Linked DNA regions of Danio rerio. The protein of the gene in region 2 purifies or fractionates together with the protein of the main gene of each other region. This does not show direct contact. Links are inferred from orthologs where the notes say so. Each region holds a gene or a part of one and is shown on either strand. Other genes may lie near its edges. The genes, in order: snrnp70, prpf40a and ncbp3.

Region 1 (5,418 bases), on a different chromosome or scaffold from region 2:
CTGTTAACTGATTTAAATGAGGGTGAATGGTAAGCCCCTCTTGTGGGTAGGTGCGCTGAGGGTGTTTGGTAAGCCCCTCTAGTTTGGTATGGTAGTCTGAGGGTTGTTGGTAAGGCCCTCTTGTTGACGTCAGGGCAGGTATGTGTGAAAGTACTGAAGGGTTTCATGGTAAGGCCCTCACGATGGGTTCCATCTGAACTTCATCGACAGTGCAGACAGGAGTAGCTTCGTGGATTTTCCATTGTTGAAGGATTGGATCCCTAATTCTAAGAGTTCAAGCTTGTCCCGTTTTAGTAAATAAAAATAAAAAATTGGATCACAGTTTCAAATATATTGAAGAACATTTTGATTCGAGGCTGCTGGGATCGACAGGCTACGTTTCGTGGGGTTTTTCATCAAGGACTTCCATCCTTGGCCAGGTGTTATGGTAAGATAGCAACTCCAGGTAATGTGGTATAACTTGGATAATGACTAATTACTAAGGGCCTAGATATTTAAGGTCTTAGACTTATTTCAGATCAGCAGAAGGAGAAAGCTTATTGGCCATACTGAAGTATGTCAGAAGTCTGTAACTTTAAAAGTGGTGCTTCTAGCTTCTTTGTATTATAAATAATGCAATTGCTAGAAGTAAAGCTTTGCTAAATGTTTTTTTCCCGTGTGGTGCGGTGTGGAGTGGTGTGGCGTGAGTGTGAATGGTGCTTTTAATGCTCAAATTCAGTTTGAATGTGAATGAATGTTTTGAAGACATTTGAGGATGAGAAGTTTGCTTTTTAATGCAAGATGTGTTCACCAAGTGCCTTTTTTAAAGATGCTATTATTAGTGATTTAATGACAACAAAAATGTCAGTGTGGATCACTCAAAGATATTATAGAAATTAAAATGACTTAAGTGATCCGAAGCTGTTCAGAACAGAGCTTGCTGATTTTTGGGATTTCTCCTGCACTGCATTAGAGCTGCCTCAGTTATAATTTGTATAGTAGTCATTTAAAATTATTAACAGAATTTTTTTCCCAATGTGTGCACTCTGGAAGATCTTAAAAACAATATGCATCTATTCATTAAACGTAGGTTACTTTTTATTTATTTACTTATTTATTTATAATTATGGGTTAAAGTGAATAGAAGCATCTAATCATCAAGGTAATGGTGTTGAAGGTAATCACTGAGGTAGAGGAAATGTATAAAATGGATGGCAGCATTGTCAGTTTATCATTCCTGGTGTCTTATCCATTTGGAGGTAAGCGTGTGACTTCTGATAGATTAATGTTTTGAATGGAGTTCATCCCAAATTCAAGGTATGTAGTAGCAAATACTGTTCTGTGTCTTCATGGTTCTCATTGTCTGTGTCTTTTTTTCCCTCTGTGCTCCCCTTTATTCCCTTCCTCTCAATCTCCACTTTTCTATTGCTCATCTATCAACTCTTCTAGCTGCTTATAAGCATGCGGATGGCAAAAAGATCGATGGTCGTAGAGTGCTTGTTGATGTTGAAAGAGGACGAACGGTAAAAGGATGGCGCCCCCGGCGACTTGGTAAGCATTTCTATTTTCCCCCCACTCTTGTCACATGTTTGTTTCTAGGCCTGGAGGTCCAGTTTGAAGTATTGAAAACATTTGATTCAGTTTTTCTAAAATGTCCCAAGACAAGAATGGATGTTGTTCAATAGTTTAGGACGACTTTGGTCCTAAACTATTGAAAAATGGGTTTTTAACGCCTTTAAATGTTGGCTTCTGTAGTTTGGTTAGGAATGGCTTTAGTATGCCTCAAAGAGCTTTCTTTGAGGTTTTTAGTTTCAAGTGAATCATTCTCTACCAAAAGCAAGAATGACCGCTAATCTTGTAGCAAATAGGTTTGATAAATCAAGGCAGGCAAAATCTGGCTCAAGGTCTACTGTCCTGCAGAGTTCAGCTCCATCTTTGATCTTTTGAACAATATTATTGCATGGGTATTATCAGTGGGCTTCGAGGACCTTGCCTATCCCAAGCATGGCCTTTGGGTCCCAAAACTTTCTACTTGAACCAAATTTCTTTTCTTCACTCTCCAGGTGGGGGTCTTGGTGGCACAAGGCGAGGAGGCGCAGATGTCAACATCAAGCACTCTGGCAGAGACGACACATCTCGTTATGATGACCGACCAATTGGAAGGTACGCTGTGTGAGAGGCGGTTAGAATTTTAGTTGGTGCTTTTTCATCTTCTGAACTTACGCGGCCTTACCTCTGTCTTATTTTGCAGTGATCGCGATCGGGATCGTGGTGAACGCCGTGAACGCAGTCGGGAACGTGATCGAGACAAGGAACGTGGAGAACGCAGACGTTCTCGGTCCAGAGAGAGACGCAGGCACACTAGGTCTCATGAGCGTGAGAGGGCCGCTGCAGGGGATGAGGCTGGGGGCAGCAGCCGACGACGAGAGAGGGAAAGAGAACGAGGTGGTGCTGGAGCTGGAGAAAGCAGAGAGAGGAGTAGAGACCGGGATCGAGATAGAGACCGCAAGAGAAGGAGCAGGAGCAGGGATAGGAAGAGAGACAGGGAAAGAGGAAAAGGTGCAGAAGGAGGGGAGGAAGGCATGGGCGGGCTAGTTGATGGCATGATGCCTGAAGGGGGAGATAGGGGCATAGAGGACCCCTTGGGTGGTGAACCAGGGCGAGGTGAGGAGGGAGGACCTGAAGGAGAGGAAAGGGGGAGGGATCGAGACAAAGACAGGGAAAGAGATCGTGATAGGAAGCGCAGCCATCGAGATAAAGATAGAGAAAGGGATCGGGACAGAAGGCGGGACAGGGATAGAGATCGTGACCATAAGCGAGACCGTGGAGATCGGGACCGTGGGGAGCGAAGGGAAGATCGACACATTACCTCCTCCGGAGATCATGAGGGTTTGGGTAATGGAGGTGAAGAAGGTGAAGAGCCAGTGCCACCGCAATCAGAAGAAGGTTCACAGGATGGGATGAGGATGATGATGATGGATCAGGATTCCATGCAGTCGGGAGAGGGCTATGCCTCCAATGAAAATGGGTACAGGATGGAGGCCCAGGGTGATGAGTACTAAAAGTGCCATCGTTGTGTGAATGATTGTAGGTTATCTAGATGTAATGTTGATTTGATCCACAAATATCTTCAACCATTATTTAATGCCTCCACCCTTTGCTTGCACTGTCCACAGCGTGTGAGTATTATACTGTACTAATAACAGCTGTCACTGAGAGAGCTTAGTGTCTCCCTGGTAAGAAGCGTCCTATTGTTAAAATAAACATTATGTAGCTAAACTGTGAGCTTTTTTATGTTTTTAGCTCTGGTAAACCTATTTCTGGGGCTTGGACTACAGTAAATAATTAGCTTAATGATGCATTTGAATTCCCTGTCTAACATTATTTTGATATCAAATGACCATAACTGGGAGGGGATTTCTTGACTGAAGCACTGTATTATAATACAGTGTAGTTTCAGTCAAAGATAAGTATTTGTTTGTTGGAGTTATTGGGGTTGTTTTAGTACTGTTATGTCCATTTTCATAGATGTTTGCGGAGTACAATAGTAACGTTTCATGGGTTAGTACATTTATCTGTAACATTCTTTTTGTATTGGTCTTCCCTTTAATTTCTCTGCTACTTTATTTTCATCATGTACATTTTGTTTCATATTTGGTCCTGTACATGGATCGTTTACAAATCGTACAGTTGCCCCTTATTTTACAGCAGGAACAAAGGCAGAAAATATGACACCTGCTTTTAAATGGGAATGTCTGCCATGGTCTCACAGAAATTGCTCTTAATTTTATGTATAGGTTTTTTCAGTTTGTATCTGGTCGTATTTGTTCTGCTTTAAATTCTTGAATAAATACTTTTTTATTGCCGAAGTAGTGTTTTGGTTATTTATTTAAATCTTACGGTGTTAAACGAGCTTGTGGGTTGCAAAACGACTTGAACTCGCGCCTGTGACGTGTGGTCTTGCGTCATCCAGTAAGCTGCCGCTCTGTACGAGCGCTCAGACCCGCGCATCTCGCCATCAGAGCTGGATCGTCTGCGCCTTCAATATTGTTTTTACATACTTAAAGCTCATCTCAAATTTTGTTTTGAAATATTAATTTGGTATAACGTCGCTGAAAGCGGTTCAGTCCTCCACTGCAGCAGTCTTCATGATGTCATCGTATTATCATACGGGGAAAGAGGTGGACATGGCGGCGATGACAGAACCGCTGTGCTTGGAAAGAGGTAATTTACTCCGTTCTCATTGTTGTGTGCAAGCCACGGAGAGTGGCGTTGTGCAAATATTAAAGCTGATAGCGTTGCTAACGCACTCGCTGGTTCTTGTGTTTGTTAAACAAGCAGCAGCAGTGACCACTGAGAGGCGCACAGTCTCCATAATCTGAATGAATGGATGTTTGCCCCCCTCACCCCACAGTAGGGTGTGCTAGTGTTTGTGTAAGGCTTAGAATTCATTGAATAATAATAAAAAGACAAACAAAACAAGGCTATGTGGGTGTTTAAGACAGAATGCTATTTTTATATACACGGGCTTATTTTGTATCACTGGTGGATGATTTGGACTGAAAGCTTAATAGATACAGCAGGTTATTGGGTGTTTCTGATTTTTTAAGGCACTTGTAAAACACTGATAGTTGGCTTTGCATTCCTGATAAACTTAAAATATTTGACAGTATTGGACAGAAAATTTGTTCTATCAAAACATTTTAACTGTCGAGATTGTGTTATAAATATTTTGCTTAAATATAAAGAAATCCAAATGTTTTTTTTTGTTTTTTTTTCGGGAAACCGTTTGTATTTTGTACAATGATGTACAGAAAATGCACACTGAACTTTACAATAATTTGAAAAAATTTTTTACTCCATAACCCTCAAGTGGTTAAACTTTTATGAGTTTCTTTGACTTTTGTTGAACCCAAAGGTAGTATTTTGAGGAATGTTGGAAACGCATAACATTTGACTTTGGGTGAACTATCCCTATAAGACTGGTATTAATCAGGAGTCGCCACATTAGTATAAACTGCCAACTTATACAGCATATGTTCTACGCAGCAGATGCCCTTTCAGCTGCAACCCATCACTGCGAAACACCCATACACCCATTCACACACAGACTAGTCAAGTCAGCTTACCCAATTCACCTATAGCGCATGTCTTTGGTCTGTCTGGGAAGCCACAGCACCCGGAGAACACCCACGCCATCACAGGGAAAACATGCAAACTCCACAGAGAAAAGCCAACTGACCAAGCATAGGCTTTAACCAGCGACCTTCTTGCTGTGAGGTGACAGAGCTACTCACTGTGTGTCCCCGAACTTTATAATAATTTAAACAAATCTAGAATAATATCTTCCTTTCTGTTTGTGCAAAAATAATGGTTTAATTTACAGTTATTTATTTTATTGGGAATGAAAGTAACCATTTATTTTTTTCACATTATTTG
Region 2 (4,980 bases):
CAACAACAGGCTGATATGCATACAAGGTCAAAAAATACTTTCATTGTCTTATACTATGCATTTATTTTTACCTAATTATCCCTAAATATCCCTATTTTTACCTATTTATCTCCTTAGAGCAAACCTAATCTGCGCTGATTGGACCGATGACAGTCTCTTGCGATTGGTCAACATCGTTTAGAGAAATGCCACCACGGCTTATCAACAATATTGAAGTAGTCAAAGTGCATAGTATGTGTGTGAGCATACCTGCCAACAGTCCTGTTTTTCCCAGGAGTCTTCCATATTTCAGACCTATCTTCCGCCACCCTCCTATTTTGTTATTTCTCCTGGAAAACTCCCGTAATTTCAATCATCCCAGATCCGATCGCAGCGGCCGCCCGAAACACGCTTCATAGTAGTTACTAACACCACAGTACACTGATCTCAGTGTTATTCAGACACTTAACCGCCAAACCTAACCCCCCCGGTCTCCCGGATTTTCAGGGACAAATGTTGGCAGGTATGTGTGCGAGCCCGATGTAAAAGTGCATTAAAGCAGTGCAGTTGAACACTAGCATAATGCTAAGTAAAAACAGTGACACATATTCAGCAATAATCAACACAATGCCCAAAGCTAAACTATTTGAAAATTGACCGCTTCACATGTGTAGGAACAGCTGATGATGGCCATAGCAATGACAAACGGCAATGGAACGCGAGCTCACAAACGCATTTAAATCAGTAAACAAAGAGGCACGTGGCACGTTTTCAATGTGGCATTAGACGCGATATGAGAATATAAAGAGTTAACCTGATACAGCACGCGCAGTTACAAGTAACAAAACACAATTAAATACATAATTTGCAAGCTAGAGAAAACAAGGAGGCAGCCATTTTAATCGCTTTTAATCGAAACTGATCTATGAACTGTGTACTGTAAAGTTCCTGTCAAGCTCCAATGCCCAAAGTCCCACACATCAATAGTCTTTTCTGATCCTTCCTTTAACAAACGGCTGTTGAATACCCCTTTGTAAGGGTGTAGATTGCTGTAGCACTGGTCAGAAAAATGACGGGAACACAGCACACAGCTCGGGCTATGATGCTGAGGTATTTTTGCAAAAATAAACTTCCAATCACTGACTCTTCACAGTTTCATCTTTGTGTATAGAAAATAACACTAACTTTCCTCTCATACTTCCAATAATATCAAGCTGAGCACAGCGTCTTCATGACTTGATTCAACCAGGATCTGCTGCAGTGTTTGTGGGCCAGGGGGTTAAATTTTCCCGTGTTTGCGAGCGCAACAAATTGGCTGGGCTTAAGTTCAGTCAAAACGCCTAAAGACTCGTTATCAAGACGATTAATTTAAAGCACTATGAGTCAACTCTTTTATAGATGAATCAATAGTTTTAAACACTGTGCACATTCAGATTTGAGCCTTAGCTGGATATTTCACAACACTCAGAGCTGTTTTACACACTACATAGAAGGTCATTTAAAAAACAAACAAAAAAAAAAAAAACATAACAGGGGCTCTTTAATTTTTATATATAGTAATGGCAAGTTAATGTCTTAATGTCTTTCTTTTTTTTTTTTTGTATTTGGATTAAATGTGGTGACAAGAGACTTTAACATTACCAAATCTTACAGTGTCCATTATTCAGACAGTTGTATATAAAGTTACATGTATATAATGTATATACACTCACTTGTATCGTGTGGTTGACGTCATCTTCTCGTGGTTCTCCAGGAAGCGTTGGAAAGTCTCTTTAGACTCCTTGTATTTTATTCTGGCTTCTTCCTTTTCCTCTTTCTCTGTCTGGACTTTATAAGCATTGAACGCCTGTTTCTTCTCACTGAGCTTTGGCAGAGCACTGCACACACACAGAGAAAGGGACGTCAGTGAAGAATCGCACAAATTTGTTTAACGGCGCAGGATGTAAACGCTAATAAATGCCAATAATGCTGTGCAGTATTTGGATACCTGTAACGAGGGTCATTAATTATCAGCTTCATTGCCTGCTCCCATGATGCATTGGAAGAAACGCCCTGTAGGCCACAAAGAGGGAAAAACAAGAAAAGTTACAAAAAACACAACACAGGGTTGGAAGAAATATTTTGATTGGGAAGAATAAAGTGCATTTTTATCATGGCTGGGCGATAAATAAATTGTCCATTAACCATGTGTAGTTTGCATCAATTAGTTTGAACGAAAATCAGTTTCACTCTAATGCTGCGTTCACACCAGATGAGGATGAAGCGTCAAGCGCGAATGATTTACATGGTAAAGGGGTGGTCCAGAATGAATGAAGATTTATCTTTGGCCTTTTTGACTGTTGCATTGTTTTGCAGTGTGTGCTGTCAAACAGCATGTAAACACATGTTTCCTGCAAATCAACTGCAAATTGTGGCATGTTGCAAAATGCGTTGACGTCAACTCGACTTTAATAACAAAGGCCACTTCAAACATTTCAAGTTCCAGTTCAACACTCCCACTCCCAGAGCAGAATAGGCTCACTCAGGGCTGTTTATGCTAATAAATCATTTAGATTTCATAAAGAACAATTAAGCGTCTTGATTATGTTCATGGCTGCATTAGAGCTGCACGATTCTGGCTAAAATGAGAATCACGATTTTTTTTTTGCTTAAAATAAAGATCATGATTTTCTCACGATTCTGTAGATGTAAAATAAAGGTATGGTAAAAACAAACATATGGCACAACATCGATAATAATATTATGTGTAGGTCTACTGGTTTCTATAAATAATTCTATTCTACTTATAATAATTCTGATGTTGAATTATTATGTTTGAGATATATGCTTGCAATCTGTCACATTAGACAAATTTATTCACTGGTAAAATCAGACATTTGCCATTATCAGATTATATTCAACAATATATAGGCTAGAGTAGTTATACTGACATTGTAAACCTTTATTTTCATGCACAACTGTGGGTTCGCTATGAAAGAAAAAAACATATCAAATGCTTGTCGTAATCATAACTCTTAAATGCGATATGATCATTTAAATGAAGTGCACACTTTCAGTTTCATTCTGACTGCTAAGTGCTTGTTCATACTTCGCGCGCGGCTCCCAACCGATCACTCTGTGCCAAAAACTGAATATTATTTGCAAGTGTATTACCCGTTACTCGCAACATATGCAGGTTCTGTTCACTAAAGTAGACGCGCGCGTCTATCATTAAGTAGAGCGCGCGTCTATCATTAAGTAGAGTGTGCGCCCTCTTTGTGATAACAGCTCACGGTCAGCAGCACACGTCACGTGTAATTTCCTGATTGCGAAAGCATCATTATATTAAGACAAAAATTACATTTTTAGGTGAATTATACCTTATAAATTCAGTATGTGACTCATTCAACATCATTTGGAGGTGTCAATGTCACTGAGCAACGTGTGTGAAACAGTGAAAAGACTCGTGCAGCCGCCTTTTCTTCTCTCCTGAACTTGAAAATATGATTGACAGAATCGTAGAAATACTGGATTAAGATAGTCTAGGGGGTCGAATCGAGATCGCGATCTTTTAACGATTAATTGTGCAGCTCTAGGCTGCATGTATTGAAATGAAAGGTGAGATGTCTAATAGCATTAATAAATAGCTATTGTTGATATTTAAAAGCTTATTACAAAACATAAATGTAGATCCACAGAGAGGAGAGAAAAGCAGAAGAATGAAAACAGAAAAAAGTGTGATAAAAAGGCTCGCAGAGGTAAATTTCCATGTTGACATCATGAATCAGAAAGTTCGTTATCCGTAATGAGCGTGTCTTTCTGGAAGGCTGTGAGGGGTCTGTGAAGCGTGCGATTCCACAGTCTTCTGTTTCACTCACTTCAGTCTAATCACACTCACAGCAATTAAACAGCCGTGGCTCTCACAGGAGCACTTTGTGTGCCAAATTAAAACACACTAAATTTAGAAAGACCCAGCCGGAATATCAACACCTCCCTCCTCACTTCACAGGGGAGAGAAGGAAAAAAAATACCTTTTCTTTCAGGAGTTCTTTAAAGGCCTGCTTCGCCTCCTCTTTTGTATTCCACTTGTAAACTTTCTTCACCAGCTCAGGTCTCTCCTCCTTTGAAACGTCATTGCTGCAATAGAAATGAACCCATGAATGAATACCCTCAACACAATTATCTTTTCAAATGGAAATTAGCATTTGGTCTTTTATGCCACAAAACATTTCAAAAAGCGTCATGTGACTTAGTGAGTCAATTTGTAGCATCAAATATTCAAGCATTTCATCCAGTGGGATATGATTAGATTAAGTGAAAGATGTTCGACTACATTAAAGGGTCACGAAACACCAAAACACATTTTTTGAGCTGTTGACAGTCGTATGTGTCCCACACTGCTAAAAACACTATTAGAACACCTATATTTCACTAAAAAGTGTAAATTGGTTGTTTTTGCATTATTTCAAGCAGTTTTTACTGTTGATATTTGGTTAATCAGGAAGTGACGATTTTGTTCGCTTTGACTCGTTGGATGGAAACGATGCTTCATTCGCACAACTTTTATGCGATAATCCAGTGTTGCGCATAAAGTTTATTCGCATTTTTGGATGGAAACGCAACTGGCCCTGGCTTGCTCACTTTAGGCATGACAGTGGAAACGCAGCTATTGATTTTCATAGCACTTGTTTTTCCAACTTTCCAGCTTTCTTCAAAATATCTTCTTGTGATTTCAACAGAAAAAATATGTTTGAAAACATACGAGCGTGAGAAAAACCATCCCTTTTAATTGTATTCAGAAACAGTGTCACAAATAAGGAAAATAACATCTTCCTCATTTAAATAAACAATCATTTTAGCCTAATATGGAATGATTCAGAATAATGATCCTTTGTGAAGTTCATTTCTTGGTATCAAATATATGTGCATTCATCACCTAGGCTGGGTCTCCACGCTGGGCGTTTCCTCAGTGGAGTTCACAGCGACATCACTGCTGACCTCAGCAACCTGCGCAGGCACGTG
Region 3 (5,807 bases), on a different chromosome or scaffold from region 2:
TGTTTAAAAAAAAAACATTTCAGTTTAATTTCTACATTTTTAAAAATGACATTCACAACATAATCATTACTCAACATTTCAGATACACTTTATATTTACATTAAAGATGTCAAAGTACAGTGTAGGCATGGGATGAGAACCTGTTTCAAGGTTTACCACGATTTGGAAAAGTCAAGGTTTTAAAACCATTAACGTTTTCTGTTATACCATTGCTAAGGTACAGTTAGGTCCATAAATATTTGGACATCAACACAATTCTAACATTTTTGGCACCATACACCAACACAATGGATTTGAAATTAAAAGAAGATGTGCTTTAACTGCAGACTGTCAGCTTTAAGTTGAGGGTATTTACATCCAAATCAGGTGAATGATGTAGGAATTATAACAGTTTGCATATTTGCCTCCCACTTGTAAAGGGACCAAAAGTAATTGGAGAGAATAATAATTCCAAATAAAAATTAATTTTAAATACTTGGTTGCAAATTATTTGCATGAAGTCTGGAACGTATAGACATCACCATACGCTGGGTTTCATTGTTTTTTTTTTCCCCAGGCATTTAAAAAGAACTTATTGTAGAGTAATAATCACAATACCTTGATACCATGACTACATGATATTTTTGTTCAAGGTTATCATACCGTCAGAAACATATACCGGCCCATGCCTAGTACAGTGAGGACTTTCATGTCGCTGCATAAGCAGGCGTTGTAAATTACAAAAATTATTGATTTTAAAATTAAATATGCTTTAAAATGTCCTTAAACCTGCTTGTCATGGAAAAAGTGGAAACCATAATGAAAAATTGGGCCAGGAAAATAGTATACAGGCTTTGAATTGTTATCAGTTTTCATCATGAGCAAATGTGGAAGAGACTCACCTGTTTTTTGTTTTTTTCCTCTCCACAGATGTGAGACAGAGATTAGGCAAGAGACCACACTCCCCAGAGAGGCGTCGCTCTGTGTCTCCTGTGATCTCCAGAAAGACGGCGTCTCGGAGAGAGCCTTTGAGCGACGTACGCAGCAGACTCGGTGTAGCTAAACATGACAATCGCAGTCTCTTCTCTGAACCCCCCAAAGACAAGAAAACAGGTACACCTCAATTCAGCACTCCTCTCAGTTCTCTTCATATTTGCTCTCCAATACTAATATAACATTGGAGTAATGAAGACAAAAAAAAACATTTTAGTAAATTGGTTTAATTCCAAAGGCCTCAATAATTATGGTATTTTTACTGATTACATGTTCTCATAAATTTCAAATGAGATTTCTCATCAGTGTTGGGAAGATTGTATACATTTAGCATTTTTGTGGTTCTTGTGTAAATAAAAATTTTGTTAAGTTTGTAATTTTGGAAATGTGGTAGCATGGTAAAAACATGGTAACAGAAAAACATTTAAATTGTGATGTGAAAATGGTTGCAAGAGTACATATTTCACTCATTTTGAAAGAGCAGCTGGGGGTAATAAGACATACATTTCAAAATAAGAGTCCTTTGGTATTCTCGGATTGTTTATTAAAGAATAAAACCCCCTTTTTTAAATGTATCTATTTTAATAAAAGATTATTAGGCTGAACCGAAATTAGAATCAGAATCAATAACATTCTAATGATATCCAACCCTATTTAATAATTTTTGAGCAAGATGGTCCATTTTAAAAAGGGCTTTGTATGGACAAATGTTAATAAAATTTCCTAAGAGTGGTTCTGAATAAACTTACTAAATAAAATAACTTATGTATGTGTGGAGTTCATGGATCACTTTATGTGATCAATTTTGGGATAAACATCTTAACACTAATAAACTGGGGATTTAAAAAAAAATTAGTTTGTTTGTTGAAAGTTAGGACTTAAGTTATCAAGTGTTTGTTTATGACCAGTTACTGAAAAATAGTAACTAGTTACAGTTACTTGTTACTTTATTCAAAAAGTATTTACTTTATTGATTACTTACACCAAAAAAATAAATGCATTACTCTTAATGGTAATTTTTGAGATACTTTTCCAAAGAACATTTGTAATGCTTCCATTAATGCCCTCATAACGTCACTGCAGTTCTGCATAGAGAATACACTGTTGATCAGCTTTACAATTTTAATTAATCTGCATTCCTACAACTAAAACACAAGACAAACTTAAATAAAAAGTAATTTTTAAACACTGATTTATTGAAGTCAGACCAGCAGCACAAAAATAAAATATCACAAGATTATAAACCAGCTGAAGCATATATTTCAAAACAAAAAAGCAAAGACTAAAGTTACATCCGCATCATAAATGTTTGTATTTAACCCTTAAACGTTCCTTCAAAGCTTGAGTATGAAAATAGCGACAATATACAACAGGCACAACAACCTTAATAACGAAATAATAAATAAAAGTAATCTGAATTATCATTCAGAATCAATTTGGTGAAAGTACTATTATAGACGTCCATAAATGTTATGCATTTTAAACAAAACAATAACATAACAGCTGCTCAAAAATGAAATCTATCGGCAATTTTTAAACTAACCACAAATAAAATGTAGTATGTCAAAGCAAAATCTGCTGTTGTGTAACTGCTATAAAAATGTGTAAAACAATTTAAAAAATCACAGAATTGTTTCTGAGCAATACAACGTTATACATTTTAATAACACGTTCTGAAATGTAACCGAACTGTGTCTCTGTCTCTAATAATCAATTTTGTAATACAGATACCACCTGTGCTTATTTATTTGTAACAACAAACAGAAGTATTAGTAATAAGTATTATTAATAGTAACGGTAATAGTCTCAGTCTCTTGTGCACACAGTCAGCCTACCTCGCTTGCATTCGGTCTATCTCGCGTATACACTTTGCCTCTCGCGTGCAGCTGGTATCTCTGCTTTGTCTTTACTTTTGTAAAGTCTGGTGTCTCGTACACGATGCGTCTTCTTTGCAGTGTTGGTTAGCATCCACCAATGTGTCGTCACTGTAAACAGAAAGATGTAGGCTAGAGTGCAGCCAAAATTAATTAATTCACGATTCATTAATTAATTAATTGAGTCACGGACAAACGCATTGTATTTTAACGATAACAGAGTTACTATATTTAAAAAGTAATGCGTTACTGCATTAGTTACTGTCAGAAGTAATGCCGTTACAGTAACACATTGCTAGTAAAGCCTGGTTTATACTTCTACGTCAAGTGACCGGCGTAACCGACGGCGCATGCAACGCGCGTAGCTGTGCATTTATACTTCTGCGCTCTGTCTCTGTTATTCTGCATTAACACTTCCAAAACGCTAGTTGGCAGTGAGTCGTTAATATTCCTAAGTGTCGAGTTTCTTCGCTGGTGTTTTGTTTTTTCTGAATGCTTCCTGAATGTACAAGTGGCTGAAACTCGCTTATTTTGAGGCAGGAAGCGGCGGACGTGCAACAATTTTAACTATGAGGTAAACACAAAAAAAAACCTTCCACCCAGAGCTCCTTTACGGGACTCCACACTTGTAAACAATCGCTCTATCGGGCTCGCATCGATCACGCGGCTCTCTGTCCCGCCTAGGCTCATCAGCGCTACCAAGCCGACCAATCACAGAGCTTGCGCTACGCGTTGTTGCAACGTGTAGTTAAATTTTTTGAGTAGGGCTATTCGTCGTTAAGTAGGCTGCGCCATAACATACGCGTGGGCTTGACGCAGAAGTATAAATCAGCCTTAACATGTTATTGCTCAACACTCATTATGACTCATTTACAAACCATAACATTTGTATCTTAAGGTGGTTTGTGGAGCCGCCTCGGCCCGTCTCACAAGGACAGCGGCAGCGGAGACGAAGACAAGCCTTCATCACGAGCATCTTCCTCCAGAGGAATAAGACGAAGAAAGGATGAAGATTCTGACGGAGTGGAGGACGAGGATGAAGAGGACGACTCTCATCTCCAGAAGATGTGGGGTGCAATGATCAAGCAGAAAGAGCAGCAGTCCAACAAGATGAAGAAAAGCAGACTGGACAACCTTCCGTCGCTGCAGATCGAGATCAGTCGAGACAGCAGCAACGGCTCCGACAGCGACTCCTGACTCACTCACTGAGAGTTGGAGGGCATCTATAGACTGGGCCAAGAGACCCTGATATCCAAACTTAAACATTCCCAAAATCCCAACTCTCATCAGTCTAGAAACGTCACACTTTTCCTCCAGAAACCAAGGTGCAGGTTAGGGTTTTGTTTTGACTTCTCAAAGAAAAGGCAGAGGATGAAGCTGTCATGTTTTTTTTTTTTCCTTCAAAAGAAAATAAATTATATTTTGACATACAATCAGAGCCCATTTCAAATACACAGTGAAGCATTTCTCATGAATTCAAGCAATGTGATCCGATTGCCTTTTAGCAATACTTTTTTTTTTTAATCCAGTCATGACTCATGTTTTATCATTATCACTGTGGATTTGATGATGTGAAGAAAATAATGGTGTGTTTTTTTACAAGCATTATAATATCCACTCACACATACTGGACCTGGATGGATCAGTGCTTTATCTTACACAGTCCCGAAAAAGAATAGCACATAATGTAGCCAATGTAATAATGCTCCCTCAAATGAATGGTTCACATTCCCTAAATACATGTGGTCAGTGAAACATACAAGAGCAGCATTGTATGTTGAATAAAAGTTGTTGTTTTTTTTTATATCAGATTGGGTCTAGAAATTTGTATTTCCACCATATGACATCTTTATTTAAAATAACACAAACATTTTGTTAATTGTTACTGAAAAAAAAAATAATAGAAATGATCTGAAATACTTAGCGCAAAAATGTTCTCATCATTTTTTTAAATGATTTCAAAACCTTTGTGTATATACGATCATCAACGTTTGAAGTGGATCAAAAAAGTTTTTCAAAGTTGTCCTTAGACACGAATGCCTATTGTTCATTAGTTTTAGGACAACTTTGATGAAAGATTTTGATCCACTTCAAATGTTGACTACACTATACAGAAGTCAACATTTGAAGATGATCAAAACAGTTTTTAAAAATTATCCTAAGACAAGAATGTGACTATTTTCAATTTCACAAGGTTGTTTTTACAGCATCGCTGTTGTAATGTAATTGCAATACAGTCAGTTAGCATTCATTTAGTTGTTCAAGTGTAAATCGAGATGAAAGACCGTTGTAATCACTAGTGCTGTCAGCAACAGGCTAGTGCAGAAATTCCATTGAAAATACTGGGGTAAAATAATTTGTCATTTTAAAGACATGGAAAGTGGATTTTAATGCAGTGCCTCTTGTACGATCTGAGACCCACTTTAATTTGTATATCTAATAGGCAATGAAGAGCACTAATTTTTAAAGAAATCAGATCTTAAACTTCACAATTTTGTAATGGAAAGACAGTTCACCAGAAACCCTTATGGGCTCCCTGGCTGAAAATGTAAAGTCTGTGTGCATATAGCCCATTGTGTTTGTAACAAGATGTTTGAGAAGCTGACGACAGTCTTGGTAATTTGGTTACCAACATTAAATAATTGAAGGCAATCATAATGGAGACACTACTGCAATTAGTAACAATAGGATTTAATGCCAGCTATGGCCATGTTTATTTGGTTTGAATGCGATTCTGTTTAGTTATTTACATTGATTGTTTTCGTTTGTACAAGCCAAAAATCACCAAAAGCAGGCATAACAACTTTTTTGCAGTTTAAGGTTGTTTTTGGGCATATCAATCACACATCTGATGCTAAATTTAAAAATGTGCATTAAAATAGGATTATGGAAAAACTACATTGGGTACTCCTTTCTAACATTCTTCATAATATATATTTTTCGTGTTTAACAAAAGAAAAA

What was found.
Region 1: the proteins of prpf40a (region 2) and snrnp70 fractionate together in Homo sapiens (co-fractionation; 3 studies listed by BioGRID, with this or other methods). This does not show direct contact. The link is inferred for Danio rerio from reciprocal best matches to the Homo sapiens genes PRPF40A and SNRNP70.
Region 3: the proteins of prpf40a (region 2) and ncbp3 purify together in Homo sapiens (affinity purification with mass spectrometry; 3 studies listed by BioGRID and IntAct, counting the BioPlex papers as one, with this or other methods). This does not show direct contact. The link is inferred for Danio rerio from reciprocal best matches to the Homo sapiens genes PRPF40A and NCBP3.

The regions. Positions count from the first base shown.
Region 1 is NC_133178.1:30,720,784-30,726,201, forward strand, and holds the end of snrnp70 (U1 small nuclear ribonucleoprotein 70 kDa), read left to right. Parts: exon of another isoform or gene 1-1,428; coding exon 1,429-1,530; intron 1,531-2,042; coding exon 2,043-2,142; intron 2,143-2,230; coding exon 2,231-3,041; 3' UTR 3,042-3,848; downstream 3,849-5,418. Other genes in the region: lin7b (protein lin-7 homolog B), read left to right, coding at 4,167-4,203. UniProt on the Homo sapiens protein: Component of the spliceosomal U1 snRNP, which is essential for recognition of the pre-mRNA 5' splice-site and the subsequent assembly of the spliceosome. SNRNP70 binds to the loop I region of U1-snRNA.
Region 2 is NC_133184.1:4,702,222-4,707,201, reverse strand, and holds part of prpf40a (pre-mRNA-processing factor 40 homolog A), read right to left. Parts: coding exon 4,895-4,980; intron 4,096-4,894; coding exon 3,990-4,095; intron 2,032-3,989; coding exon 1,967-2,031; intron 1,857-1,966; coding exon 1,692-1,856; intron 1-1,691.
Region 3 is NC_133196.1:33,658,445-33,664,251, reverse strand, and holds the end of ncbp3 (nuclear cap-binding protein subunit 3), read left to right. Parts: intron 1-909; coding exon 910-1,092; intron 1,093-3,744; coding exon 3,745-4,043; 3' UTR 4,044-4,648; downstream 4,649-5,807. UniProt on the Homo sapiens protein: Associates with NCBP1/CBP80 to form an alternative cap-binding complex (CBC) which plays a key role in mRNA export. NCBP3 serves as adapter protein linking the capped RNAs (m7GpppG-capped RNA) to NCBP1/CBP80.